Mytilus edulis: one gene and its partner. The protein of the gene in region 1 binds, or shares a complex with, the protein of each later gene. Links are inferred from orthologs where the notes say so. Each region holds a gene or a part of one and is shown in the gene's direction. Other genes may lie near its edges.

Region 1 (16,854 bases):
TTATTCAGTTAAGGGGTTTATTCATTAAAAAAGGTGGTATTTTCCAGTTTTCGGACAATAACTCAGCAATGTTCTCTGCAGTTCTCATGAAACTTTGATTTTTTGTTTATATACATGATATATATTGACTGATTTTTATAAATATCTGATATGACATTGAGAAGTTATCGAATATTTCAAAAAGGTGACGGGCGTATCATGCACTCATGGCGTAGCTGTTTATTTGTTATGGAATACTTTTTTCAGCATTTATTTTTGTACAAATATCGAAACTCACACATGTTTGTAATTTAAATAATGTGTAATAAAATTGAGAATGGAAATGAGGAATATGTCAAAGAGACAAAAATTATATCTAGTAAAAATTCAAGGGCAGTTATGGTATCAAAGTGGGTCCAATTGACATAGTTCTTGTGTTTGTTGCTATTAAAAAATGATCTAAAAGAGTTTGAATATATATATTCGCATTCTGACTTTTTTAAATGCCCATTTAATGAGGTGTGTGAATTTTTCTGAATAAGACTATGAGGCAAAGTTGTATATAGGGTAGAAAAATCAAAATCACCAATTATAAGCATGCAATTTATCAAGTAGGACCAATTTTGACACTCCAAAAGTAATTTATTCCACTATTTTCAAAGGCCTTATTTGAACACATTTTTATCAGGTTTTTGATTGTACCAAGTCTACTAGTAAGTATAGAATACATAGTTTAATAGGGGAACTATGGCTTGAAGTTGAAATACATCTTTAATTGTAATGAGTTTTTTGCAGCTTTGGAACCCAGTGCATTATCACAATAACAGATAACAAAAAAACTAAAAACTTAATAACAGCTAACAAAAAATAAGACAATAACAGCTAACAGCAAATATATTTTCAGAATAACAGATAACAAAGAATTAAAATGTCCAATAACAGCATAACAGCTAAACCTCTTGCCCCCCCCCCCCCCTCATCAAAGAGCAGAAACAGCCCATGGCCACAACTGGGTCTTCAACACAGCGATATATGCCACCGACAGAGGTCAACTGCGGGCAACATGTGGCACTTAAAAGAAAAAAGATTCAAGCGAGGAGATATTGACTTTGATGGAAGCCTTTTTCAACTAGGAATTAAGCACTTCAGTTGGATTGGGGTAATCTAAAAAGTGAAATGTCCGAAAGAGCAGTGGCATACCAGGGTAGAACAGCACAAACGAAAGCAGAGGCGAGGCGTTTTGGTCATTGTTTTTTCACTACATGATGACGAAAACGGACGGAAAGAAGAAGTTTCAACATAGGAGTCAATATTATGGAAGTTGGGGCTTAATTGTCGCACTAGGTGTTAACTTTAAACAGAGACAAGTAATATTATATGTCTCTGCTTTAACTAACAATTATAATGCACGTTGGCACGTTCTAATGTAAAGAATGATGTCAAAGTAATGACATTTATTGGAGAGGTTATTAGATATAGGAAGGAGTGGTATGAGTGCCAATGAGACAACTCTCCATCCAAATAACAATTTATAAAAGTAAACCATTATAGGTCAATGTACGGCCTTCAACACGGAGCCTTGGCTCACACCAAACAACAAGCTATAAAGGGCCTCTAAATAACTAGTGTAAAATCATTCAAACGGGAAAACCAACGGTTTAGTCTATATAAAAAACGAGAAACGAGATTCCTGACTTAGTACAGGTGCAAACATAATCCTAGAAATGCGAAATAGATCGCCACATTGATGACATGTTGGAGGCAGGATTCATAGAGCCAAGAAAAGGTCCATAGTCATCCGATCCAGTACCATTCTCGAAAAAAAGAGAGACGTTTTTGTGTCAACTACTAGTATCGTCGTTTAAACAATTTGACGGTTAATGGTACATATCGGCTTCCTTAGCATAGACTCAACCATAGATCAGCTTGACGGGAACATATGGTTTTCAACGATGGATCTTTGTTCATGTTGCTGGCAGGTTGAATAAGAAGACATTGACCACGACATTTTCAAATTCAAAGAAATAGCAATGGCCATGTGAACCTGCCACTTTCGAGTTGAATATGGAGCAAATAATGGCTGGTTTACAATGCCACAGTTGCCTACACTATATACTTTAATATATCACCAGGTACCTAGCTCATATATTTAAACAGGAAATGCAAAACCCCGGGACACTTTTATTTGTAATTGAAGAACCGTCCAAAAAGGAGTATCTATAGATCATTGCTGCAACAACACCAGCGCATTTAGTGTCTCCTTAAAAGAAGAAGCTTGTTGAGAAGTATAATGCAACCACAGAATGGATTTTCAAAGCTACGACACAATCCCCCTATAGTTCCGAGGACAAACGCAACAATTGGAAACACCATAGGCGACCTTTGAAATATAACCAACTCGTTCATCTCAAATTGACTCGTAATGTTTCGGCAACTAACGCTGTTCTACTCGTCGCCCATGGACACGTAGTGTGTAGCCACCAATATCACCAATGTTATTGAAGCAACTGTCATGGCTCAAGTTAGGACGCCAGCCGCAGAACCTTCACTATCTCTGGTTGAAAAGATAACTGTCAGAAGGTTTAACCAGAATGAGAAGGAAGTAGAACAACCAACATCTGGAAAAAGGTTTTGCACCATGACAACGGAAAACAAGCTGATCCGTGAGGACTTAAAACTATGGAATTTGCTTATCATATACAAGTAGCCGTTTAGAAGATGACATCAGTAAGATGGACCTATGTTTTTGTTTATTGAAGTTATACTATTGTCAGTGCTTTTATTATGCTCTTATTAAATCCATGTTTGTCCGTCGGATGGGGACTTTAAATCTGATGTCCAGTGTACAGAGAGTATTATGCTCTGTACTTAATAAAAATCCCTCACAACAAGCTCTTTTAGATTTTTTAAGTGGTCCTGTTAATGCTACATTGTTGTATACAGCTTCCCTCTAGATTTTTCTGGGTTGATCCTAGCCAATTTCCTTTTTGTGTGGTCCAATTCCATATCCAGAATTCCTTGTGCATCATCTATGTTATTTGCTAGAATGCAATGTCATCCACATGAATGGGTGCTGGAACTGGTATTCCCGGATTTGTTTTTTCTTATGACTTTTGAACACATGTATACTACTGCTGCCTTAATATATGACCAGTTGATGATTTTGCGCCTTGTTAATTGTGTTCGTTGCAATACATTAACCTCTTCTGGATATTCTATCTTAATACTCATTTCTCTATATAAAAAAAAGTGAAGAGTTTATTCACTGTTCCTATCTTTTCCATAATAGTACAGCTAATTGAATAGGATTCCACAGTTCAGTTTATCAACTGTTTTCCCTGCGTCGAGGGTAATTGAGATTCACTTTATCATGTTTATTGTTTCATTCAACTGTTTCTGATGTTAGGAAGGCTGTTACTTAGTAGGACGATACTCCCTCTGTAGAATGAATGGTGTCAATGTCTATTTTGGGTATTCATTTAGGTATTTTGATAAATGTCACTGTTACAGTCAGAGTTTGTTGGTGTTAAACGTCCCATTGATATGATGGTTGGATTTGAATATCTAAATATATATTTTCAAATTATATTAAGCACAATTATATGAATCATAAAGAGAAAATAAAATCACAAAAATACTGAACTCCGAGGAAAATTCAAACCGGAACGTCACTAATCAAATGGCAAACTCAAATGATTAAACACATCAAAAGACAGGACAACAACTGTCATATTCTTGGCTTGGTACAGGCATTCTCAAATGTAAAAAAAATGGTGGATTGAACCTGGCTTTATAGCGCTAAACCTAACTTGAATGACAGTCGCATCAAATTCCATGACATTTACAACGATGGGGAATTAACTCGTTCATTCCATACTTTCATTCCATACTTATAGTGTTTGAAGTTGATATTCTGTCTTCATCTAGCATATTTTATGGCTGTATTCATCTCTTTCGTTGATAGATAGATAGATAGATAATTTTATTAACCAATCATGGTGCCCAAAATTTGAGCTATACAATCAAATGAATTACAAAATAAAGCACAGAAAATGATTAAAGTATGTAACAGTATTACACTGTCAGTACAAAGCCCTTTTCAGAGTTTTTTTCCAATGATGTGATTATGCATTTTTCATATTACTTCTAATTATCGGTTTCAAAATATGGTTCAAATGTAGGAATTTATACCTGCTGGAAGTGCTCTTATCATATATTTAGTATGCCTTCTGTCAATTTTCTGCAGTCTAATCATCACATTTTTGTATTGAATAATCATATAAGCGTTTTTCTTTGCATTCTAATTAAGTTGAAAAATAAATTACTTATCTGAGATCGAGGCTTTCATAATTTTCTGATTCTGTCGAGTTGTATCTTTCTGTGAGGCATACACTTGTCTTTGTGCCTTTCTTGGAATTCTTTGTATTGCGATCATCTTAATCTCAAGTTCGTTATATTCTTTCTTGAGCTGTGCCATCAAGTCTCTATATGTAATGCACAGGCACTTGTCTCAGATTATTTTTTCCCTATATTCCTTATTTTTTTCTTCTGAGACAAGGCCTGTAATGTAATGTGCTGTTCTTGCATGATTGCATGATTGCTTTTTAGATGCGTTTCGTTCGTTTTTGCCTTACCCTTAAGGTTAACTTAATTAGAATATTTTTTTCAAATAAAATTAAACTAACATATAATCAAACGGACATGCAATGAAGACCCATTGGTAAACTTCAGGAACCCGTTGTTCAGTAGCCGTCGTTTGTTGATTTGGTTCATAAGCGTTTCTCGTTTCTCTTTTTATATAGATTAGACTGTTGGTATTCCCGTTTGAACGGTTTTACACTAGTCGTTTTTAGGGCCATTTATAGTTTGCTCTTCGCTCTTTTGATCAAAGGCTCCGTGGTGAAGACCGTACTTTGATTTATCATGGTTTACTTTTACAAACTTGGACTTGGATTGAGATTTGTCTCATTACTGAGCACTCATACCACATCTCCTTATATCTGCACATTTCCTATTCGCAGATAAAAAAAATCAATATGTTAAAAGACTTTTGTGAAGTACTACTAAACAGAATGACTTCATGGTTGGTCATAATACGTTTACAGTGATGAGTTGTAACGTGTCAGGACGTTTCGAATCTGTAAAACACCTTATGAAGGCAACGAGTACAAACTTCAGTACAGTATATATATTGACTATTCAAATACTTTAGTGAGGGGTACAGCTTACAATGATCCTCGATAACATGTTTCCAATACTTTGATACTTCTTTATTTACGATGGTCTTCCATTTTATTTTTTTAATTTGACTGTCTAATAGATATAAAGCTGATGGTAAGTTGTATTTCGCTAGAATCGTTTTAACAATAATAAACCAGCTGTGACTATCATCCGTTTTCATAAGTAGTTGTCTATATCCAATTTGTTTTTCTAAACTATTATGTGATTGTCTAGATCTTTTTATGTATTTGGCCCTCTATTCAATGGTAGTTGTTCAGAAAGAATGTATATGGCGGGCGTAGCTGTACTTGTTGGTAAAGAAAGTAATTGCTTAATTTTTTGTGGAATATGTCAATAATATCCAAGTTTTTTTCAGTAGGAGTTACTAATTCCAGGCCGTACAGAAGTACAGGAATGACATAGATGTTAAATATATGTAGTAAGGATTGTATGTCCAGTCCATTTTCCCCATGCAAACCAGCTGGCATTAGACTGTACATGGCTCGTCTAGCTTTTTTCACGTTTTCATACAACGGATTAGGATCATCTGGTTTTGATGTGCGTAAGACCCCCACATGGGTTGTTTGGCTAACTATTAGCATTATTGAGTTACTTATACTCCATGGGAAGGAAGGTTCTTGCTGTTTTCTACGATTTGGATACCGTGACTGGCAAAATAACACTCCTCACTGGTTGAGGCTTATATCTCTCCCTTCGACTGTAGTTGTATGCTATGTTAATAAGTACCTGTAGTTCCTCAGGGTTGTCGCTCATTAGTGCCACATCATCTGCACAAGTCGGAGCTGCGCAACAAATGGATCCTAGTTTTGCTCCCAATCCTGAGTGCTTGATATCTGTTAGGAGATTATTGATGTACAGCTTGTCACACGATAGGTCGGCGCTCAGTATACCACCTTGTTTTACCGGCGCCTTGACACATTGAGAATGGTTCAGATATTAAACCATTAAATTTAACTACACTGCTAGAGTCCATGTAAAGACTTTGTATAAGTTTCTATAGTAGCCCATCTACACCTGCTATGCATAGCTTTCTTAGGATACTCTAATGCGTTACCACATCAAATGCCGATTTAGCATCTAGAAACGCTCATGATATGTATTATTTTACCAGCATCCCTGCATTCTCTGATAAATTCTTCTGTAAAGAAGGAGCAGTTCATTGGAGCTGAGTTCTCAGTAAATCCTCTTTGTAGCCTATTTTGTTCTTTCAATATTTTAGGTTGGACCTTAGCCTTTTAAGAGGGGGGCAAGGGGGGTTCCAGTAACAGCAAAACAGCAAATTGATTTGGCTCATAACAGATAACAAGGAATTAAAATGGACAAAAACAGATAACAGTAAATGAAATATTAAAATAATTCGGTCTTTGACAAATCAGTATTTCTTATTACGGATATAATCCTTTGTAATGCATTCCATTTTCTATGACTATGGTTTTAGTATTAATTTATGTATCTAGAATGTGTTTAAATTACTACTCAATATATTATAATATTTTTTATACGCTCGTTTACGGAACGTATTATGGTATACTGTTGTCCGTCTGTTGTCAACATGTCGGACATTAACTCAAAAACTCGTTAACCAATTTGCATTAAACTTTAAGAAATTGTTTATATCTATTTACTCCCTTTTTGTTTTCTTTATAAATTTTCTGGGTAATGGGTTTTTATTCAATAAAATTGGTGTTTTTTTTTCTTCAGTTTTCTGATAATATCTCCAAAAAAAATTTCACAAAGCAAGGAATTTTGGTAAATTGTTTATATCTATTAACATGAGGTCACTTTCAATTTTTATAAACTTAGATTTCACGCTTCCGAGTTAACTGGTTTTATTAATTATAAAGGGGGATTTTTCAGTTTTCAGACATTAACACAAAAATGTTTTCTGCAGTTCTCATGAAACTTTGCTGAAATGTTTATATCTATTGTTGTAAACTCCCTTGCGATTTTTATTAATTTTAGATTTTATGTTATTGAGTTAAGGGATTTTATTCATTAGAAAAAGGTGGTATTTTCTAGTTATCAAAAATAACTCAAAAATGCTTTCAGCAGTTCTTATGAAACGTTGGTGTATTGTTTATATATATTGACTGAAGCTCCCTTTGTTGCTAATACAAAAAAATGACCTAAAAAAGTTTGAATATTCTGACTTTTTCTAAATGACCATTTAATGAGGTGTGTGAATTTTTCTTAATAAGACTATGAGGAAAAGTGGTATATAGGATAGCAAAATCAAAAGCACCAATTATAAGCATGCAATTTATCAAGTACTTCGAACGAATTTTGACATTCCAAAAGCAATTTATTCCACTATTTTCAAAGACCTTATTTGAACAATTTTTTATCAGCTGAGGTTTTTGATTGTACCAAGTGTACTAGTAAGTAGAATACATAGTTTAGTAGGGAAACAATGGCTTGAAACGAAAGAAATCTTTGTTTGTAATGAGTTATGTGCAGCTTCGGACCCAAGTACATGGTTGTACAATGCATTTGGTTCTGCTTTGAAAAGACTCACAGAGCTGAGTCTATGTACCATATTATATAAAAGGTTAACTGGTTGTTATGACCTAGTCCTTAATTGAGATCCTTGTCAGATATTCCTGGCCATATGTTTTCCTTTTTGTCATATTAAGAATTGTTTTAATTTAATATGTTCGTACGGGAAACAAGGAACATTATTCTCATACAAAAAATTAAGATAATTCTAAATACACATTCATAAAAAATGGAATTATTACAAAGGATAATCATAAGATATACTTGAATTGTTCTGGACCTCACTTCTGTGATGGGTAAATGTTAATGGAATCCTTCTCTGAATACGGGACAAACATATTAGTAGTGGTAGACCCCAATGTCCAATGATATTCAATTTATACCGAATATTGACTGTAAAAAAAAATGCTAACATTCCAATTTTCAATAACAGTTAACAGCAAATACATTATCACAATAACAGATAACAAAAAAACTAATAGCCCAATAAAAGCTAACAAAGAATAAGACAATAACAGCTTACAGCCAATATATTTTCAAAATAACAGATAAAAAAGAATTAAATTGCTCCATAACAGCATAACAGTTAAACCCCTTGCCCCCTCTTTCAACACGGCTACAGACTCAATAAGTTTCAGCAGTATTGGCATGATAGCAGAGACATATATACACATATGTGTATATATGTCTCTGATGATAGTAAGTTACTAATCCCTCTATAGTTGGTGGCGTTCTTGTTACTTCCTTTGTAGATGTAAGCAACATATATGATTAAATCAGTGTACTAGTCTACATGTTTAACTAATCGTTGGTTAAATTTTAGTCTCGTCTCGGGACTTATTGCAATCAATTTGAAATCACCTACTTTTTTTCCGGAAAGAAAATAAACCGATATGTTCCGACATTTAGTCTACTTCCGCAACAAATCTTACAAATGGGTGAAACTGTCAACAGGACTCTAAAAAGTTTACTGTTTATTTTGAGCATTTACATCGCAGTTTTAGGTCAAGTAAAGGGAAATGCACCAGAAATACTTGGGATTATATCCCAGGAACCTGGAAATATACGAGATGAGACTGGAACACTGTTGCTTTATCCAAGAATTGCACATAAGTTACTTTTGGTCGGAACGAACTTCTCCGAAGTGGAAAAAGGTCAGGCCCAGATAGCATTCACTTTAAGAAAAGACCCAAGTGGTAATTGTGATGATTACGACAGGACAAAGTCATTTGATTTGATACCAACCGCCGATGGACAGTATGCCTCTGTTACAGTTACTTTGGAACAGATTCCAAATACAAAGTTATCATCTGGAAATGTAACAAACAAGTATCTTTACATCTGTTCAAAAAAAAATGATGATTGGGTACACCAAGGAGATTCCAATATATTACGAGTAGGTATAGGAGAGATAGAACCTCCTAAAATTGTCTCTGTAGTTACGGGAGAACCTGACAGCACAATTAATAATGATGGAAGCATTTTACTCTATTCAAATGAACCTCAAAATATATTTTTTGTAGGCCAACATTTTGATGGGTTTAAACAGAATGGACAGCTGGCATTTACTACTAAAAAGGATGTTACAGGATCCTGTGGAATCTTTCTGGAAACCAATATTTTCAATGTCACTGTTGAGAGTGATGTACTTTCTTCGGTGTCAGTGTCTCTTCAACATCTGGGTGGAGGACAGCATTATTACATTTGTTTAAGAAATCCGCAGAAATCCACAGAATGGATCCATCAGGGGTCAAACAAATTTCTAACAATAGATGTCCGTGTCAGAGTAGAAAAAACAACAATGTTACCCTTCTCGATGCAACTTATTATTATTGCTTCTCTGTTAGTTTTATCAGGTTTATTTAGTGGTTTAAATTTAGGACTGATGGCGTTAGATAAAACAGAACTGAAAATTATTGAACGCTGTGGGTCCAAAAATGAAAAGAAATATGCAAAAACAATTTCCCCAGTTCGAAAAAGGGGAAACTTTTTGTTGTGCACACTTCTCTTGGGAAATGTACTGGTAAATAATTCTCTTACAATTTTATTGGATGATTTAAGTAATGGATTAATTGCTGTTATTGCAGCCACAATGGGAATTGTCATATTTGGAGAAATTATACCACAAGCTGTTTGCTCAAGACATGGCTTAGCTGTTGGAGCAAGAACCATATGGATTACAAGAATTTTCATGGTTCTCACATTTCCGCTATCTTTCCCAATCAGTTTACTTCTAGACAAAATTTTAGGCGAAGAAATTGGACATGTGTATGACAGAGAAAAACTTCAAGAATTGATTAGAGTAACTAAAGATTTCAATGAACTTAAAAATGATGAAGTAAATATAATAGCTGGGGCGTTAGAATTGACTAGGAAGTCAGTTACAGAAGTCATGACTAAAATTGAAGATGTGTTCATGATTGATATAAACAGTAAACTAGATTTTGAAACAATCGCTGAAATTCAAAGGAGAGGTTACACTCGTATTCCTGTATATGAAGGAGATAAAACAAACATTGTACATTTGTTAAATATCAAGGATTTGACTTTAATTGACCCTGATGATAAAACCCAACTTAAAACTGTGCTGAAATTCTATCAGCATCCATTGATCTATGTGTTTGATGATCTCAAATTAGATGCTATGCTCACTGAATTCAGACAAGGTAATAACATTTATATACAAAGTATGTACACTTAAATGCACATACATGTAGGTGTTCTAAAATACAAAAACATATGCAAATTCATGGTAATGATAATTACATGTACATTGTACATGTACATTTATATGCATATATCCCAAGCTCCATATGAGCAAAACAATATATTTAGATATATTTGTATGCAAACATGAACATTTATTACTATATTTTTGTTCATGTATGCATACATGTATTCAAAGATGTGAGTTATGACTACATTTGTACATGTAGGTGGTAATTTTATGTACATGTATACTTGCATTGCCATTGGGATACTTGTACATGTACAAATAAAATATGTACATATACACAAAAATGTATGCAAATACATTGTAGGTTCAAAACATATACATTGTGTATGCACATTATAGCTACATGTACATACAGCTCCAGTGGTCTTGTGGTACAAAAATGTAGCATCTTCGCCACAAGTGTGGGAGTTCTTGCATTAATTAGGTTCAGCCTGTACAAGGTCAAACCAAAGTCTTTTAAAGTGGTATTTGTTGCTTTTCTGTTGATCTTGCAGTTTTAAGGAGTGAGAGCAAAGACAGGTACAAATGTAGGCTTGGAGTAAGGAAAATGTGTCTGGGTAGGGTGACATCATTGACATGCCTTCCTTCAGACTGTTACCTCGTACTAAATATTACATTAACATGTTCTTGTCCTAAATATGCATGCAGATTATTTTGTTGCTGGATGTAAAACAGCTGTTCATCATCTTCAAACCTCAAATAAAAATGGTATTTTACTGAAAATTCCCAATAAGTTGAGATGGAAAATCACTATTGATTCATATTATTGAGCTGGATAAACTACACTTTTAATTATGAAATGATGTGACTCAGCAGTACAAGTACTGTCAGTAGTTTATACATGTATATTTTATTTATTTCCATGCATTTCTTCTTGTAATTGATAAATTGATAAACAGTCTTCATTAGAGACATGTTAATACTGTTATCATTTGTATAAATAGGAAAATGTCATGGATGTGTTTACATAATATATAAATAATATCTGTTTTATCTCCTATTTGTCTGACCTGCTATACTTGGTGTGTACATTTGTACTTTATGACCTGTCAATAATAACACACATTGCAATACAATATACAGTTTGTTGTATATACATCCTTGGAATACATTTGCAGTCTGCAATACAAATGCTTTTTTATATATACTATTCAGATATAGGAAAAGTCTGCACCAAAAACTTTTTCAACTACTAGTCCGAAGAGCAATATTCTGACATTTTTCTTATTTGGCCAAACAAAGTTTTGCAAAAACTCACTAGTCCGAATGAAATTTTACTAGTCTGGGGCATCGGACTAGTGGCTAACCGTGCAGACTGTTAAATAGGATAAGACAATTGCCTGTATTTCTTCACTCTCATGAGCTAATTTGTGAATACAACATTTCCTACAAGCCTACAGTGTTTTTTTCCTATTTATAATGTTGTTTTAACGCAAATAATTTCTAGAATAAAAAAAATAAAGAACACGAGCTGTAGTGTACATTTGTACATGTAAATGTACTGTTTATGTATCTATTAACTTTTTCCAACAAAATAAAACTTAATTGGTCAAACTCTGGACCCTCTCTGAAATGGTGTTTTTGGTTCTGATAGTTTGTCATTATTCAGGACATGCAGGATGAGGGACTGATGGGGATGGCTTCACATAAGACAAATGATTTATCTAACATGGCAATTTCACAAATACAGAAACTTTTGAATGTTTCTACTTAATAAAAATACATGTTAACACATTTAAGTGTTTTCAGGACTGTATGTTAACCTATTTAGATATCATTCTGTATGTTGTTGTTGTTTGCTTGCCTTATTGACATACATTGTACATGAACATGCGTGATGTAAAACCACATTTCATATGAATTGAACATTCACATGGGTTAAACTTATTTAAAAACATCATGTTGCATATATATATATATATATATAATATATTTCATAACATTTATGCATGTTCCAAAAATTCTGATCACATGTACATTGTATGACCTTATGCATGTTTGACATGTTATTATTTCATTTGTTGCTTTTGGCGACAGTTTTCTAAATAATTCACCTCAATAGGGACAAATGGAATATATATGAGGCACCTCATGGGGTGTCCAAGTAATCTTATAATCACAGAATAATGAATTATTTTTTTAAAACAAAATCAAATTATCAAAAATACAGTCCTAGATTATTAAATAATCATGAAATATTTTGTCTGGTATTCAAATAATCATTAAAAAATAAGTCAAGTAATTACATCACCAAAAACCCCATGAGGAGGCACATATATGTACATGTACCAGGTCTATTGATAATTGTCAGTGAAAAAAATCAGTTAACAGGTCTGAATTGTCATTTGATGACCTTACATAAAATGATAGACAGACTAAACAAGGCCTCGGGCATGAATACATAATATCCACATCACATTATTTACATGTTACATAGCGCACTTCATTTATCAGTGTCCATACATGTACTTATGACATAACCTTGACCAGTACTTACAGTATATGTATATTATATCATTTGTATATGTTTTTAATATGATAACTGGTTCATTCAGCTCTTTTTAAAAGGGGGTTTCAACCATACATTGTATATCCCCATTCAAAAGCAGTTGATCATGAAAAAAGGGGGTTTCAATCCCTAAGACCCCCCCCCCCCCCCCCCCTTTGCCTTTTTTGGATCTGTCACTGCTTAAAGAACTTTTAATTAGGGATTGAAAGATGTTTTATATGTATAAGGAAATTAGGAAAATCATGAAAATGCACCAAAAAAGCTGGATGATTTGGAAACAGAAAAGATTGAACATTTGTTGAAAGCAAAAACATAAAATATGAATATACTTTTTCAGACTTCAAGATAAACCTTAGTTATTGTCTTTACCTCGTCAAAACAGTGATCAGTAATAAAAGTAGAGACAGCCATAGTTCCAATGTAACTCATGTGTAAAAGGGTATTATGTACTATATTTTATACTGATTTTGTAGGTCATTCTCATTTGGCCGTGATCCGTAGAGTGAACAGTGAAGGTGACGGTGACCCATTTTACGAGACCCTTGGAGTTCTGACTCTGGAGGATGTTATTGAGGAGATTATACAGTCAGAAATCATAGACGAGACTGATACACTAAGTATGATATAAATTGATACAATCAATCATTAATAATCAGCTTTTCATATTATATATGGATAATTATCAATCTTTTTGTCTTTACAGAAGGGAGATAATTACTTAGGAACAGAAATAGGTCTATAGGATTCAGAAGTGAAATTTAAATTGTATAGAACTGGAGGCCCTCCAATGGAAGGAGGTGGGAGGGATAATATAACAAATCCATACAACTGTTTTTTTTCAGACACATGCTATTTTAAATTAAGATAAGAAAATACACATCACATTATGTATGAGGGGGGGGGGGGGTTTAAGGTGGGATTTCAGGATTGACCGTTTTGGATCTGGGAATTCTTATTTAGGGATGTCGGGATTTCATGTTTCTAAATCCAGGATTTCGTGATCAGGACCATTCCGACCTCCCCCAAATGCATAAAACTAACTCTGAGCATATTATTAAAGCACCAATTGGGCTGTAGTCATGTTTTTATTAAAATAGATACATTAATTCCATCATAAATTTAAATAACAGTCCACTTGCGCTTCTCTTGAACCAGTACAAAATACATGAAAGGATGGATTGTTGTAAAACCATTTTCACTGCACCAGCTTGGCAAGACATGTTTGGTTTCTGGTTGATTATCAGTTATCTTGCAAACAGTATTCCTTTATCTCCCCATGTTATAGAACCTGTCTCAATTGATCAAGGGAGAGGAGCTTTGCAAGGAATTGTAAAAAAAGACCACAGCTGAACATGTGCATATGCAGTTCAATTACTGGCAGTTTAACAGATTTCTGCTTTTTGTGTAGGGGTTATTTGTTTATATGATTAAACAATGAATGACTTATGATTATAGAATGTCATTTCAAAGGTCATTTTTCAAGAAAAAGAGAAATAATTATCACAGTAAATACTAATTTTCAGAAACACATATTATGTCACCTAAACAATACCCATGTAAAACAAAATATAGTATAATTCTGTAAAGGGTCATTTATTTTAAATAAAAATCAGAAAACATGTACCTCATCTTTAACTAGAATAATTCTTTTTCTATTAGTTATGAAAAATGGTATTAAGTGAAAATTATGAGTCTAACTAAATCTTAAAAACAGGAAAACTACACTTTAAATACATGTGTATAAATAAATAACAATGATTAATATTCTTATGACCATTTTTTTTTTAACATGTCTATATACGTACAAATATGTCTGTATTTAGCACAGGGTAATTTATTAATGAAGGATAGAATTTAAATATATAAAACAAGAAAAATAAACAAACAAGTTTATGACAAAATTTTCAAATTTGTTCACAGTAGCCATGGTCCATTGGTTTGTCCAATGTCAACAATTTGGACAATAACTAAAAAAGCACTTTAAAGAATTTTTAGTTATACTTTCAGGAATTGTTCGTATCTTTTGACATAAGCTTGTGTTCTATTTTTATGATTTTAGATTTTACAATTCTGAGTAATGAGAATTTCAATTTTTTTTTTACTTTAACTCAAAAATGCTTTGGTGACTGGTTTATATCTATTTAAGTAAGCTCCCTTTTGTTTTTGTAAATTTCTGATGTGACAGAAGTAATAGAACTTTATTCACTGAAAAAGCGATAAGTTTATCATGCGCTCATGGCTTAATTCTTTATTACTTTATGCTCTAAGAGATTAATTTCACATAATGAACATGGCATATTGAACTATTATTATTGATGTTAAGATATTGTGAAATCTGAATTTAACTTGTATTATAAATCAGGTATAGGAAAGTAATAAACATTATTAGAAATTTAAAATGAAAATTGGCTAAATGGGTTTCTGTGGAATTAAGAGTACAAATATAAACACTTCAACACAATTAACTATATAGCCTAGTTAGGTGAAGTTCAGCCTTAACTATGGAAATCCCTACATAGATCGATAGAGACAGGTATTCAATCTATTAGGCTGAAAGCTGCTTAATTGCTAAATATCATCCAAAACAACTTTCCATGAATTTCAATGTGATAAATATTTTAAATTCCAAGGTCAGGTCTAATTTAGCAGTCTTATTATTGGATGTATGCAAGGTTTGTTAAAGTCAAAATAAAAGATAGATGGTCGCACTGAAAATTACAGTATTTTTTCTCCTGACAAGGCTGACTTTGTGAGTAATGAGAATTAATTAGTACGCACACTTATAAGATATATATATTGATTTATATGGTGTTATTAACTTTTTATTAGCCAAGATACAGCAGTAGTATATATTGATTAAATATTTGTTTATAGTCGTACTACCATTAAGTTACAGGGTGGTACCTATTGATTACCAATACTGTAACGGGATGTTCTCTATTGATTATCTAGTATTCTATTATCTCAACAATTCAATTAAATCGGAAATTGTTTCATGCATTTATGCAGCAGAAGAATTAAATCGTAAAAGCTATGTCCTGTTTTGTCTGTAGGAATGGAAGTTTGGAATTTCCAAAAGATTAATTATCAATCTGTTTGAAAATTCTTTGCTAATAAAGAAAATTGAGAATGGAAATGGGGAAAATGTCACAGAGAAAACAACCGAAGGCCACCAATGTGTCTTCAACGCAGCTGGCTTCTATATAAAATTGTGTACTTGTTCAGTGAAAATGGACATCACACTAAACTCCAAACCATAAAATTAACTTTTCATTTTTGTCAGGTCTCATTTAAAAAAATGGGAAAATGCATTTGGATTGTATTTTGTACTGTCCACATTTATGTACATTTGTTTAGCCTAAATTGAAAACCTATTGACAATAATTAGTGCCTTGTGTTGATTGATTAGCTGAAGGCTTATAGTAATCAGCTTATACAGCAAGAGATCTGTTCATCACAAATTCTTTTTGCTCTCTAACTCTTAAACCTTTTGTTGTTTAGAAATGAAATTTGTTTATTCATCTACTAGAAGGTATGAAAACTCTACAATGAAGGTTTATATAAAAAAAAACAAGTTCAACAGAGCCTCCCCAGCTGTGATATATGTAGAAACATTGTTTCTGTCTCTAACTTTCAAGCCCTTTGGCGTTTGGACTTGACATGATCAATTGCCACCACTAAAAGCTTAATCACATACAAGGGAAACAAACGTAAAAGAATTAGTTTAACTTAGTGGTAGTCACTCCTGTGCATATTTAAAAAAATCCTCTCTTTAAAACCCTGAAAGTATGAGGTATCCATCCATGATTGAAAAAAAAACAGTACATGTACAGCAAAAAAAATAAAAAAACAAAGGAGCAGCAGCCGGTTGTACGAACGTATCATTAACCTA
Region 2 (16,065 bases), on another chromosome or scaffold:
ACTTAGGTATAAGTTTCCCTACAATGTCATGGCAAAGGGAAATAACTTTGAAATCCAATAAGGTCAACGGAAATATATTTAGTACAAAACAAATAGTGGTATATTACTCTTTGCTTTACACTACCTCAACACAAATTGGCTAAATTGTGACCAAATAAATGTGCCCTTAGATTCCAAAATCAAAAATCTCAAACTTGATGAAATTTTCAATTTCCTAAGTAAGATTTCCTTAAGAAGAAATCTTTAGCTAGTAGCTGCCATGATTGAATTTCATTTTACATTTATATTTATGTGTAAATATTATTACTTAATTAGCAATACCAGATCTGGAAGATTTGATGTCATTAATGTTGTATTTGTTTATCATGTCAGTTTTCTGACTTTAATAATCTATTATTTTTTTTGTTTTCTTATTTTACTTGCAATTTGATTTATTATTTTGAAATAAAGATGTTACTGGGATGTTTGTCTTTTTATTTTATTGTGATTTTATTGAGATGAAATAAAATTGAAGTTGGAATTATTAAAACTCCCATAAAGTTGAGTTTTTCAAAGTTTATAGATTTATAAGAGCAGCTTGTGTATTTTTAAAAAGCTGTGGTCCTATAATGAAAATAAGACATCATTTAAAGAAGGCTCTAGTGACATGAATTGTCAAGTCCAATACTCCCACTGCACTACTGAGCTCTGGCAACTCAGCCTTTGGCAAAAAAGTAGACCAGGTTAGGAATTTGTGGTCTATGGTTTGTTAATAGATGCTGTCAGTTGTAATTGTTCATTAGTTGAAGTGTTTTCTCTTTTGAATTGTTTCTCAATTTTTCATACTATGGTCTTTTATAGCTTACTATTAGATGTTTTTGCTCATTGTTGAAAGACATAGATTTTCTTGTAATTGTTGACATCTTTGTCCTTTATGTAAGGAATGACTGTAATATTTTTCTGTCTATGAAGAAATAACATAAAAAATGTGGTGCACACTAAATAACCTGTGTGCTCTACATTTTTTTATGTTATTTCAAATAGGCAGAAAAATATTACAGTCATTCCTTATAATTTAATTCTAAATTTCATTAATTTGGGGTAAATCAGACACATTATAGAATTATGTCTATGAGGTGATAAACAAAACCCTGTCAGCCAATCAAAAGACACATTACATCCAAAATTAAATTATTTTATATTAGATACTGTACTTATCTAAGTGGTTATCATACCACATATAAAATTTAGGATGTGTGAAAGAGACAACAACCCAACCAAAGAGCAGAAAACAGCTCAAGGCCACCAATGGGTCTTCAACACATCAAGAAAATATCCCTATTTATGTATTTGTCCATCAGTCTTGTTAGCTCTATCGTTCCCAAAACTATAAAAAAAAAATATATATTTCAACAAAAGTTTCAGGTGGTGAATTAAAGTCATCACGACATATATTTTACAGATGCCATCACAATTTAGTTGACCATTATGGAAAATCTGTTTCATGATGGGTGATTTAAACATTTAAATAAATCTCTTTTTTACGGACATTTTGAACAATTTATCCTTTTTGGAAATATTTGCTACAGTTTTTGAGCAAAACTAATCACTGTGATCAAAAGTAGTATAAAGGTTGTGAATGTATATTACAGATATGTTCTATTTGTAGTGAATTGTGTTGGTCAGATTTTGGTTTCCTATGTTGTGTTTTGCTGACTCTTTATTGGGAGGTTTTTATTGTATTTCCATGTTATTGTCAATTTGGTTTTAACTATGAGTTTGACAACCCCTTTAACTACCCATTTGACAACCCCTTTGACTACCCCTTTGACAACCCCTTTGACAACCCCTTTGACTACCCCTTTGACTACCCCTTTGACAACCCCTTTGACTACCCCTTTGACAACCCCTTTGACAACCCCTTTGACAACCCCTTTCACTACCCCTTTCACTTCCCCTTTGACAACCCCTTTGACTACCCCTTTGACTACCCCTTTGACTACCCCTTTGACAACCCCTTTGACAACCCCTTTGACTACCCCTTTGACAACCCCTTTGACTACCCCTTTGACTACCCCTTTAACAACCCCTTTGACTACCCCTTGACAACCCCTTTGACTACCCCTTTGACAACCCCTTTGACTACCCCTTTGACAACCCCTTTGACTACCCCTTTAACTACCCCTTTGACTACCCCTTTGACAACCCCTTTGACTACCCCTTTGACAACCCCTTTGACTACCCCTTTGACAACCCCTTTGACTACCCCTTTGGTATCCCCTTTGACTACCCCTTTGACAACCCCTTTGACTACCCCTTTGGTATCTTCCACCTTTCTGTAAATGATAAATTTTGGTGAAATTTGGACTGGAAAGTGTATATGAATTATTTCATTAAAGTTTCAAAATGGGTGCTGATTAAAAACACTTGATGGTAGTAATGGCAATTAGAAATATAAAGTTTTTTTATGCCCCATTTATGGGCATTATGTTTTTTGGTCTATGCGTCTGTTCGTTTAGTTGTCTTGTCCGTTCATCCGTTCGTCTGTCCCGCTTCAGGTTAAAGTTTTTGGTCGAGGTAGTTTTTGATGAAGTTGAAGTCCAGTCAACTTGAAACTAAGTACACATGTTCCCTATGATATGACCTTTCTAATTATAATGCCAAATTAGAGATGTTCACGGTCAATTGAACATAGAAAATGATGGTTTGGATGGGGCATCTGTGTACTGGGGACACATTCTTGTTTTAGCAATCTTTAAATTTCTGTTTGTTGACATGATTTTGAAAAGTTTTATTCAAATGGTTTATTTCACCAAAATGATATTATTAAAAATGTAAGAGCTTAATTAGAGGTAATGGTTCCCAGATGGTAACTTGACTATCTCTTGTTTGATTGATATGAAAATTAATACTTAGAAAAAGGGAAAGATGCCTTTTGATTTTGGGGTCATTAATCAATGGTCAAGGCCACTGTTACAAATCAAAATAGAAAATTTCAGAGAAACAGTTTCTGGATTTTTACTAGAAATTCACTTGTTGATTGGAACGAAACTTAATTTGGGGAAAGGAAGAAGCTTATTGACTTTGGGATCAACTAATTAAAGGTCAAGGTTACTCTCACAAGTACGAAAATGGACATGATTTTAAAATGCTTTCCCATTGGTACTTTAAATCTCCCTGGCTTGATTTGAATACAACTTCACCCCTGGGAGAGGTATAAGCTAGTAGGAGGGGCAATACCTTTTTTATATTAACCTGTGTTGGCCCTTTTCAATGTGTTGTTAACTGTTATCTGAGATAAGATAGAGCTGTTAACTTTTCAACCCACTTTGTTAACTGTTTTTGCCAAAATCTAAGTGTTGTTAACATGTTAACGAATCCCTTATCCCCCCACCTTTTCTAGAAGTTGTTAGGATTTGTAAAAAAGGAAATGGGAGTCGCTTATAAAGATTATCAACAGGTAAAAGGCAAAATGTTACTGAAACTAAATATAGAATATTGCTTAAGTTCATTTACAAAAGATATCCCATTTAGGATTCGGTAACACATTCATAAAGGTGGACAGTCGACAGTAAGAGATCATATGTAGTTGCCTCTCCAAGCATACTCGTATTTCACTTTGTTAAAATATAATAATAGATATAAGAATATGTGGTATGAGACAACTCTCCATCCAAGTTACAATTTGTGAAAGTAAACCATTATAGGTCAAAGTAGGGTCTTCAAAACAGAGTCTTGGTTACACCGAATAGCAAGCTATAAAGGGCCCTAAAATGACTAGTTTACAATCATGCAAACAAGAAAACCAACAGTCTAATCCAAATAAAAAACGAGAAACGAGAAACACTTATAAACCACATCAACAAACGACAACTATACCGACCATCAGATTCCTGACCGAATTATAAGTTCATATAGATTAGGACTGTGCATATCATTGCAACCACATTTTGCAGGTTTACCAGACACGAGAATTTTCTACTCGAAATTATTTATTTCAATCTTTAAAAAAAACCACAATGTGACCATTAATACTTTTGGGAGCTCGTTATTTATTGTAGAATAGGAATAAGTATGAAAAAACGGTCTTTGTTTTACCTCACGAGACAGCAAGCCAACACAATAACACAAAAGACGACTTCATAGGTCAACATACGGTACATCATGTCAAGCTCTCTATTACAATATTAAAAGTATAGTAAAATAAACTAAGGTGACCTTCTGCTGTTGTTTGTTCTATTGTCGGGTTGTTGTCTCTTTGACACATTCCCCATTTCCATTTTCAATTTTAAATAAATGTTAATGACTATCAATTCAAGACGGTATAGATCTCAACTAAATTCCAAACTGTATACTTTCCATTTCTATGTAGCAACATTCCAGAAGCGCCTACATACGGACTGCATGCCATACGGAGTATATATCTCACAGTTGATACATTATATCTGACCGAATATTTCCTATCATGACATTTTCTCGATAGAGAGTTGCTGCAGGTATATACAATAAAGCTATCAAACCTATAGAGTTCCAAGTCCACCTCTTCGTAAATTCACAAAGGGTTAAAAGGCCCTAAGTTTTTGATGGTTTTTTTTTAATCCAGGCAAAATACTACAGAGTTCACATAAAATGAGTGTGATATTACTATTAATACAAAATAACTTCATTTTGGCATATGACATGAAAAATGATGAAGTATTTTGACTCTAGAAGTATGCATTAATTAATTATGTTGTAACGTCAGATTTGGTCAAATTTTCAATCAATTCTAAAACCGTTTTTAGCAGTTTATTATATATACTATGGCCGCGCCATCCACGATCAAGAAAATATTTCTGTATAGAGATTCATGCAATGTCATCATTTGCAACTTTTGGTTACAGAACATTTTGGATCCTATGTTGCAGCCAAAGGTTTCCTCTAGCATTTGCGTTCGAAAAGTGTACAAAATCATCGCATTTTGACAATATATCTTAAATGTGGTGATTAAGAAGCTAACAATGTTCTATTATATATGAAGTGATTTATTTTATCAAAAAAGTAAGGCTTTTGTAATAGATCCATTAAGAGCCAAAGTATTGTCCTTTTTGTACTAACATTAGCAACATGACGGGTGTCACATGTGGAGCAGGATCTGCTTACCATGCACAGAAGATGTATAGATTCGCTTGTATTGTCTTTTTTGTAGTTTAGATCTGTAAATGGATATTCTCTTGCATTGTCTATAAAAGATATATTCTCTTGCATTGTCTATAAAAGATAAAGTAGACGTGTTGACGTTCATTTTCGCTATCTACGGTAAAGAGCCGTAATTAACACCTTCTAGCAGCGGGTTTCGAAAAGGGGGCATTTCTTTTATAAAAAAAACTAATCAATAGCAAGTTGAACATACCTTATAGAATACTTTTTTTTATCTTTTATATTTAATGTATTCATTGTGTTGATTTGAAATCTAATGGTCATTGGTGTTGGAGTAAATATCCAAACCGGTTACTTTAACATATGTTTAAAGGGACCATGAGATAAGGCCCATTGTTGTGCAAATGTCGTTAATGAATATGAAATGATTAATTTGCAAAGATGTTTACACCGTGTATCATCAGTACACCGGATATAGGTATTAAGCAAGCGGGCATGATCGATTTTGACCTTACACGGTAACGAAAATCTTTGTTTTGCTTGAACAATATTCAATGTACATTTCTCAACATTTGAAATTCCTGCTCCCAAATAATTTTTGCATCGATTTTTTCCTATTCATAAAACAAGTTTGATATTCTAATAAGAACAATTAACTTGTACAAGCGCAAATAGTTGTGAAAGTCAACACCATCTTTCAATTTCGATACAGTTGTTGAGACATTTACATGTTTTATCTGAAAGAAACCTAATACAGGGCAAAAGTAATAGTCACCAATCATAAACCTATCTGTGATTACTCATTCCTTGAAACATTTTGGGTAATAAACGAGTATAAAAATAATGTTTTTGTGTACGGTGTACAACAACATAACTATGCACCGTACATAAGGATTTATGCGGTTAGCTAAATACCGTACACAACACTTTTTTAGGGATAAAATATCGAAAAATAACATATGTATGAAAGATTTCAATGCCAATTATTGAAACAGCAATACTTATTACACACACATATTGACCTTCTATCAGAAAAAGAGTTGCAATGAATATAGAATTATATCGGAAGAGACGAGGACCAACTTCTTTGACAAGTATTTGCACATGCTTTTACAATGTTTAAGTAATCCCTCTTGTTTTGGGAAAATAATGAGACATCTCTAACCATTAACCTACGACCAAATCATTTCTTAAAATAGCAATTATGTTTAGATTGAAGTACACATTGATATTATGTGAACAAAACAAAGATTTTCGTTACCGTGTAAGATCAAAATCGCTCACGCCCGCTTGGTTAGTACCTATATCCGCTGTACGATGATACACGGTGGTTTAGATGCATTATGAAAATTCGTAAAGGGTTTCGTGAAACCGTGGTTCTCGCTAGATTGCCGCTTCCCGCGAAAATTGAATCTTTTTATCAGTCTATAATAGGATTTTAAATAATCAAACATTTCAATCCGTTAAGATCTTTTTTTCTTGATCTGGTATATTAACTTCTACCCTAGTCTCATGACAACATCTGAAGGTTTTCAAAATCATTATGTAAAAAATAATAATCACAGAGAGTCTGTAAACTGCTAAAACATAAGTCCGTATGTAAATTGAAAAATAAAAAAAAATATACTTTCAAAAGTTTTGCTTCAGACATTAATCACAAAAAAACTTCTGCAAAAGTTTCATAAAATTCAATGAAGGGTTAACAAAGTAATTGAAGTGCAACAAACTTCAACTACAGACTGTATATGCAAACAGAAATTCCTTTTATCAGTAGAATACGGGAAAATTAAAAATATAAATTCATCATTTCAAGGTCTGTATAATCTTTTGAGAATAAAAAGCTTCTGTCCAACTTTCGTAAAATTTCATTAAGATTTGACAAAATCATTTATATTTAAAAAAAACCCAAACTTTTACACCATATTTAAGCAAAATGTTGTCGACTCAAATGATACGAGACATTTCAGCTGGTGTACACTAGTCTAGTGTTTGTGTAAGGCGGTTTTTTTTAAATAAGAAAAAAATAAGTGATTTGTTGTATTTTATATGATATTTTAACAGATATTCATTATGCTCTCTCTCTCTCTCTCTCTCTCTCTCTCTCTCTCTCTCTCTCTCTCTCTCTCTCTCTCTCTCTCTCTCTCTCTCTCTCTCTCTCTCTCTCTCTCTCTCTCAAAAAGGCCATGTAAGGGGAGGTAACTAACTCTAAACATGATTGTAAAGTTAGCCAAACAATTAATTTTTTTATTCATTATAAGAAAATAAGTTTGGTGACATAATTTCTTATATATTTTTTCCTTCTCGAATTTTATAAAAAAAAATAATCTTTTCAACTGAAGTTAATATTTAAAAAAGAGTGAATAATATCAGAGACATATAATACATGTATAATGTATTATATGTCTCTGATAATATATATGCAAATTTGGGCAATTTTGTGCTACTTGTAATTAGAAAAAAATAGCACAGTGATCTATACTTTTGATAATATTAACGTGAATCAAGACAATATCTCTATTTAAAAGAAAATTCTATCTTAGAAAATATATAGTAATGATACACTGTACACCTTAAATTAATAATGCAATCTGTAAATACAAATTTATAGAAGAATCCTTCAATTTTATTTTATTTTTATTGGCTTCCTCATCAGCATATTTGCTTGAAAGTTTTCATTATTTAACGGTGACTTGTCATAGCTTTGTATAATTAGGTCCCTGTTCATCAACAAGTGACTCACTGGTTATTAGTCACATCTGTAAATCAATATTACCCCCCTTGTGCCCCAATGTACTCGTGACGTCACACGTCTGACAGCCATACTTGCTTGAGAGCGGTTGTGTAGAGGTGAAAACATTTAGATTTCCCATTTTTCTGTACCGTCTCGCTGTAAGAGCGAGGTAAAAGCGTTGAGTGCGATCAATGTGCAGGAATATACTGGTAAGTTGAATTGTCAACTTGTCTTTCATTGAAAATTGTTTCGCAATCACGAGAAACGGATCCCAGATGGGAAATTTGTGTATTGCCCATTCATTCATCTGGTGCGTGTTTCATGCGTAGGAAGCGAAATTGAAAGTTAAAATTCCTATGTTTATAAATTACACAATACCTGATGAATATTGCAGAAATATACCTCCAAACTAAAAATGAAAAGAATGGTGTTTGATACCATTTTCTTGTTGTTTTATTATTTGTTTAGTGAAGTAAAAAGTCCCAAATCTGCGTCGAAGATAACAATAATGACCAATTCTGGTTTTTACTCCACTGGATTCATTGATAAAGAATTCCACTTTGGGACTTATCTTTCATTACATAATTGACCTTAAGTTTTTATGATTGCACAATATACTCCTTGTATGTCATAATGTGAAATCAAAAGTTTATTCTGTGACAAAATTTTTGAAGTTGAACAGGAAAATGTTTTGTTTCAATTTCTGTACATGTTTGTATTTAGCCTGATCTTTTGGCATTCATCAGGTAAGCACTGCTATTTTAAAGATAAAAGTAATATCCCCTTTTCGTTATTTTTGATACATACAAGAGGGTCGTAATGGGGGTACCTGTATAACCAATAACAGTAAAAATTCTTGCCAAATGACATTAACAGTAATTTTTGGTGTATGACGATAAAAACATTGACTGATTTTGACGAATCATGTTTTTTTTTTTAAATGAGGGTAACGATAATTATTTGTGACCTCTAACAAATCATGTTAAGGATATTTTGACGAATCATTGTAAGATTTTAACCAATTTGACGCGAATGCCGGTAGCTGAAAATGACTGTTTTACTCCTAACGTTAAAAGGCATTACTATCCTCATACAAGAGTCAAGAACATGTGCAAATGTAAAATTGAATCTAACAATATTTTCAACCGGACTTCTTGGATTTCAAACAACAGAAATTTTAATAATTATTCGTCATTTGCTCAGACTTATTATTTTTTAGAATCACTTGTACTGTTTTTTTAATGTAAATGAAGCAACTTATGTCAATTTATCTTACTACTACAACTGTATTTAAAATGCAGATAGATTTTCTTACAATGGGAGATAACTCATAATTAATTTATATTGAGGAATTTATACTAGGTGGACATCATATTACCCTGGGATGAAAATATCCCCAAAACTGGCAATACAATTTATCATACCCACCTGCAGTTGTAGTGACTGGTAATGGGCAATAAGAAGAAAAGTATTTTATGTTTTATGGTCTGTCATTTAAACTTAAAACTTAGTACACATAGTCATTATGATGAGAACTGTGAAAACGAATGTCAAATAAAGGTGATCCAATGACCATAGAAATGTAATTTATAGGGAAATTATAACATGAGGTGAACTTTCAAAGTTCAATGACAAATTACAATTTTGTCCCCAATTTCACAGTTCACTGAACATAGGCACATGTTCTTGCTAAGCTGATTTATACAACAAATACTTAAGTCCCATTGTCATAATTGTATTTTCAATTTAATAGATTTATTGATAAATGCTTACATAGATAAAATGGAGACATATAAAGAGTCATTTTCAGAGATTAAAATGATGAAAAGAAAAAACATAAGTTCGCCATTCAATACTTTTCTTTACTTCTGTTTTTTTTCATTCCCCCCTGTATTTCTATGTAGGCTAAATATTTTGGATACTTTGTTTATTTCTCAGCTTTGTTTGAATCAGTTTGGAAAAAAAAATCTATTTTCGTGTCAGTGTTTTGTAATTCAGGGTATTAACAAATTTGTCAAATGTAATTGCCATTAAACATGTATAATCACATTGCTAAATAAACAGTGTTTAGGGGACATGTCACCCACACTATTAGAGATAAAAACTCTGATAATTGTAATACTGTGTAATTAAACAAATCTATTATAAGCTGAATTTATCAGTTTATTGATTAGTGATGTATTGTAAATGAATTAAAATTGTGTAAAACATTTTAGCTACATGTACAATGTATAAACAAATATTGTTGAACTTTTGAGTTTTTGGATCAATATCATTACCTTAGTAGAGGGTTTGGATGGGGTTAAAGGATTAAAGAATAATGCCCTTAACAAATGAAGATTAGAGAATAACGGGCAAAAAAAATAAAGATTAGAGAAAAAAGGGGTTAATTTTTTGAAGATTAGAGAAAAAAGGGGTGAAATTAAATGTTTACAGAATAACAGACCCCCCCCCCCCCCCCCCTAATCCAGACTGCCTTAGTCAGTCTTCACACTGAGTGGCAGCCCAGGCAGCCCAGGCTAGTAAAATTGCTCTCGGGCCTGTAAAAATCATATCTACAGGGCAACCCTTTAAAAATTGTTTGTTTGGCATTGCCGACCCACACTATCAGCAGGTGGGTAGGTAGGTAGGGATTTATTTTTTTTTACATTTAAAAGCCTTATACATGTAAATCATGAAGTCTCCAGATCAATGTTGTCTAAAGCATTGCAGCATTGTTGTGTGTACATGCTGGTGGTTTCTTTGAAAGGGGTCAACCATCAATGTCACATTCTACATCATATGGATAATTTCACGTAAGACAGTCAGTTTTATTGGCAAAGTTAACCAAAGTACCCAGAAAAAAACAACTGAGGCAGGAAACTGACAAATTAACCATATAAAATGTATGACGTGAAAATTGAGCTTTTATTGTGGGACTGCCCATTGAACAGAGGCCTGATGTAACATCTTGAAGTTGTGGTCACAGTTTGGTAAAATTACCATAAGTTAAATGGCTCAACCACTACGGCTCCTTGTACAAATGGACAAAGATTTAAAACTTTGCTTTGGTTTTATAAACATCACTTTCTACACCATATGGGTAATTTCATGGCAGTCAGTTTTAGTGCCGTACTAAACCGTAGTACTTGAAGGAAAATGCCAACCTGTGGGAGGAAACTGACTAACCTTATCACATCTGACATGAAAATCAAACCTTAATTTTGCAACTGCCCAACTACATGTAGGGCTCAAACCAATACCTGGAGGCTAGTAATCATACATGTAAGGTGTGACGAACTACCATACAAACATGCCTACTTCCCCTGATAAGTTTTGAGGATAAAGGATCTGTTCCAAATTAGGATAGCAAAATATTAAAAATTTGGAAGGTTGGCACAAATAGACATGGTGTTTATACTAATATTATCCAAGTGCAAGGTTTTTCAGGGATAGGTTTAAAACGTATGATAAATTCAAAATGGAAATATACAGCAGGACAGACAATTTTTGCAGATAAATAAATTATGGGTTGTAATGCTTGTTTGATTAACAGAAATCTGGACATGCATTACATGAATACAGATAAATTAATGAGCCCTTAGAATTGTGGAAAAGGAGGGGATTTTATTCATCACTAGTACACTGGATACATTTATATTATGTTTCTGTCAGTATCTTTTATGTTTTAAGAATTATCCTATTCATGTTAAGAAGAAAGGCAAGAAAAGGGGGAAGTACTTCAATTGACACAAGATGCTAGTCTTTAAAATATGTATGTTTTGTTCCAGGCTAGCATCTACAAAACTACTATAAACCTGTAAATCATTATGGTCTTTAAGATTTGGTGCTTACAGCCATAATTATCTTGAATGCATCATTGTGGTTCTGACTATAGTAGATACTTTGTTCTCTGGTTCAAGGGATAATTTGTCAATGATAAATTTCAAATATTTAATAAGTTCATCAAATGTAAGAGCCACGCATATTTGTTCTGTGATGTCCCGGTGAAAAACTTCTATCTCATGAAGCGACAAAAACAAGCAGAAATCGTCTGTTTCTGCTTTACAAAAGATAAAATTGAGTCCTCTACAAGGTCTCTCAAAACGTTTCTTTCAAAGAATAGCTGAAATTTGATTTTTGATAAAAAATCCATCTCCCTTAACCAATGCATTGCAGCATAGGGAGATGCCTTCCCCTGCCGGCCTCTTTGACATTACTTTTGGCAGACTTTTTCTATTCCATGTCATTTAAATGTTTGCTCCAAATACAGTGCAAGGCAAGCGCTTTTAAGATCATGATTTGAAATAAGTAAAGCCAGGAACAAACTCGGTGGATACGATCAATTTCCGGCACAATTTCGATTTTTTTAAATAAAAAATAATAAATTTCTGAAACGCAAATAAAATTATTTGGGCGGCAAGTTTTTCAGTAGGTCGGGCGGCAATGCCAAACAAATGAAATTTTATTTTAGGCCCAGGCCAACAGAATCTAACTTTAAAAAATTAAAAATTGAGCTCCGGGCCTGTAGATTTAATAGTTCATCGTGAAGACTGCTTAGTACCTTCTCAATTTATTATCCTACATGTATATAACAACTTTATTAAATTACATGTATATAACAACTTTATTAATAAGTGCCAGACAAGTGAACTTATTTATTAGAACATTGTCCTCTGTATGGGTTGAATTTGTAATTCATGGATTTTAAGACTGAAAATTGCTGCTTCAAGTCTGGGTATGTTTTCTATATTTTCTATATAGACTGGGCTCTGTCCAAAGGCCCAGCTTATCCCAAAACAAGGCTAGTGATTTATTACTTGTTTAAATTTTTAATATATATATGTCTTGGCATTACATTGTATTTACATTAACTGATTATCTATTGAATACTTTTGTACATTGTACATGTATAGATCTGTTTACTCTTTCCCCAATGGACAAATATTATTTCTGCTAGAATCTGATATTTAAAAGAATATTACTGAAAATAATGCATAGGTGACAATTGATATAATTATTAAGGAAGAAAAAGTATAGACATGAGCTGAGTTGTAAACAATGGTTCTAATATCAGTCAGTGTGTTTATCTACATGTACATGTTACACCATGAATGTCATTAGTCTATAGAAGTATAAAGTGTAAATGATTTGGATGCTACAGACTACTGTAGTCGTGATAGTGCTATTGTTAGTGGTTAGCCAGAAAATCTTCCAATGATAACTGAGTTTTTCTCATTTCCTCCAAGGATACACATGTTTACAGGTAAATACCAATAATATTGTTGTTTATTTTTCTTGAATACTTAAAATTTTAATTTTGGAAGGACCACTGCAGAGACAATTTGGTTAAATGTTTGAATAAATATCTGAGTGATATACGAGGGGACATTTTGTTTGTTTTGATAAAGGTCATTAGGTTACATACAGGTGTGTCTTATTTACCTGACAGTCTATGTAAATATGTTATCATTTTGTGAATGAAATATTTTCTTTAGGTATGTGATATGTTTTACATAGAGATCAATTAAAAGCAGCAGATGTCTGATGAAGAATTTTTGTGAAGTGGGGGAAGATACATGATCATCGTACTTTTTCATTATAATGCTGCTAAGAGATGGCAGAGACATAATATAGATACCTCTGTTATCAGTGATGGATAACATCAAATAATGAGAAATAGAATAAAGTTGTGCTTCCTTATTTAAAAATTACTGAACTCAGAACATTTACAATTGTTGTGCCTTAGTCCTTATTTTAAAAATAAATAAATATAGAGTATTCAATGTTTCTGGGTTAATTCAGGAGCAAATAAGTTTTGTACTTTGTTTGGTCAGTACCCACGTACATTGTATCTCCTTTAGCATAAGCATGCATGAAGTCATAATCTGATAATTAGAAGTGATTCTAAAGTCTTGAAGTTTTTTCCAAAATTGTAATTATATAATTTCCCCAAACTATGTCTACATGTATGTATAGATTTACTTTCACATTCTGCCTCAGAAAAAAACCCACATTTAAATCTTCTTTCATGTGACTGATGTGTACAGAATTTATGAAATAGGACTTCACCACATTTCTACTGAAATTTTCAGTTGACATATTGTACATGTATAACAACATATATACATCAACAATAAATATGATGTTCACAAATACATCAAATAGTTTAATAACCAGTCGTGCTTAAAAGTGACATTCCTTCACATCAATATAGGACTATTAGAAGAGAGGACATTCACCCCTTCATCAGCAGTACAGGTGAATTAAAGTGGTGTGTAGTTGTGCATGTTGTATCGATTGGTCTACAGATAAACCTTGATTGTATTCACTGCATTGTATGACAGTGCACTTGTCTCACTATCTGCAGTATCGGGCTGTCATGTAATTGTTGTTTTCCTTTTATGGGCATTTATTGTGAAAATGTTAGAATGGCCGTAAATTATAAGGATGTCGGAAGATTTAAATTTAAAAAATATTTAGTATTTTTATGTAAATTTAAATAATGAATGCCACGATTACAATGGGTGTACACAGTATCAGGTGTTTTTTATTAATGGATAATAAACATAGGGGTGGACCTAGCGGCTGAACTATTTAAAAGGGGGGTTCCCAACCCAGGATAAAGGGGGCGGGGGGGGGGGGGGGGTCCAACTATATGTCATTCAAAGGTTGAAGGTAAAAAAAAAGGGGGGTTCCAACCCCAGGACCCCATGGATCTGTCACTGAAACAGAATGCAATATTGTGCAGCACCCATATCTTTAAGTTTATGTCAACTTTCTAATGCAGAACATGTGACATGACTAATCATGTGATCTTACTGCTTGGTACAGAATGATATTATCTGTACATCAAAGAAATTCAGGTTTGACCTACATGTAGTTAAAAGGACATCCATGATGTATTGCAAATTTAATGTAAAATGTAAATGTATTAAATCAGACTATAAAATCTTATTTATATTGTGTGTTTGAATGTGAGAGTTTTAAAAAGGATTTGAAGCAAGTTGTTTTGTTTAAATTTGAAGAAAAATGTTAGACTTTGAAAATTTTCACATATATATTATATATATATATCTGTCTTTTGAGAAAAAAAGTAGAATGAAATGGATTATTATCAAACTGTATAAAATTTACATGTTGGTTATTTACAGTGTGTACATAGTGCACATATATCATGTGTATAAGAGGTAATCTGGTTAAAAGTGAAGACACATGTCTGATTACCTACATGTACATATATGAGCTACAATGTATTCCTTTGTCATGAAAGTAGCAAAACTGGACAGTATAGAAGATAACTTATTTGGCTAAGTATTCAGTATAGTGTTGTTAGTGTGTGACAACATGTATGATTTTAAAAGTAGCTGTTTCAATCTTAATAACATGATTTTCTGAAAGGAGAATGATTCTAGTTTAGGGTTTTACATGTAAAAAGATAGTTATTTAGTCAGAAAACATAAAATTAGACCTAAATAGCATGTTGGACAGAGGTTATGTTGGATGTAACAGGACATTGAAAAATTGAATATTTTTCTTTTATATGAAGGCCTAGTTAATAAATATATCAATTTTTCTCTGACAGTTCATAAGATCTTCAATTAAAGTATATCATTTTGTTAAATTTTTCAAAAACTAACTTATAAGTTGGGAAAATCTTAAAATATGTCGGACAAACGGGGACATTTTTGGATGAGAATTTGTTCCATTTGCATCATTAAAAGTCAAAAACAAAATCAAAACTATGCTGTTTATACTAATATCTACAGCTGGTGTTCCTCAGCAAGAGGTAAAATGGTTCATTATTAAATAAATGGATAAAACAAAACCATAAAAAACTGTAGGACAAACATAGGACAGATTATATTCCCTGTCGGACAAACATAGGACAGAATTCATTAATTTACTGATCCTAATGGGAATTTAAAAATGGGCACCTCTTAAGAAGAGACTAGGAAGGGTCTGAGAACTATTTTTTAGTTTATGTGGACTTGTTAGTTGTTAACAAGGTTCTTTTTACTTTTAAAAAGCTGTTACGTCCGACATTAGAAGATTTTGTCCTACGGTTCGTCCAACAGAAAATTAATGGACTCTTGTTACGTCCTAATTTTCAAAATTATGTCAAATTTAGACTGTCAACAGTTTAAAACCTCTTTATTTTTCATTTATATGGTAGTATTTAAGGTTAAGTAATTGTCAAAGTAGAAGAGAAATTGATTCTGTGACTTGTGGTAGCC

Evidence for each region.
Region 2: the proteins of unextended protein-like (region 1) and protein tyrosine phosphatase type IVA 2-like are in contact, whole or in part, in a crystal structure (PDB 8CT8), measured with the Drosophila melanogaster proteins. The link is inferred for Mytilus edulis from reciprocal best matches to the Drosophila melanogaster genes uex and PRL-1. Residues at the interface, in NP_001104390.2 of Drosophila melanogaster: Leu391, Val422, Thr423, Lys442, Cys445, Glu446, Gln449, Asn450, Pro451, Phe454, Phe456, Asp458, His480, Val482, Asn484, Gly488, Asp489, Pro490, Phe491, Tyr492; in NP_001260487.1 of Drosophila melanogaster: Asp32, Ile33, Thr34, Ile35, Asn36, His37, Asp77, Gly78, Cys109, Ala111, Leu113, Gly114, Arg115, Arg142, Arg143, Gly144, Ile146, Asn147, Gln150.

The regions. Positions count from the first base shown.
Region 1 is NC_092347.1:7,281,703-7,298,556, forward strand, and holds the start of unextended protein-like, read left to right. Parts: upstream 1-8,620; 5' UTR 8,621-8,650; coding exon 8,651-10,382; intron 10,383-13,435; coding exon 13,436-13,579; intron 13,580-16,854. UniProt on the Drosophila melanogaster protein: Probable metal transporter. Acts downstream of PRL-1 and protects the nervous system against olfactory carbon dioxide stimulation.
Region 2 is NC_092355.1:3,875,748-3,891,812, reverse strand, and holds the start of protein tyrosine phosphatase type IVA 2-like, read left to right. Parts: upstream 1-7,900; 5' UTR 7,901-8,058; intron 8,059-8,457; exon of another isoform or gene 8,458-8,595; intron 8,596-12,744; exon of another isoform or gene 12,745-13,094; intron 13,095-16,065. UniProt on the Drosophila melanogaster protein: Probable phosphatase. Inhibits growth possibly by negatively regulating Src64B-induced growth. Regulates central nervous system circuit formation and stabilization of synapse-dense terminal arbors.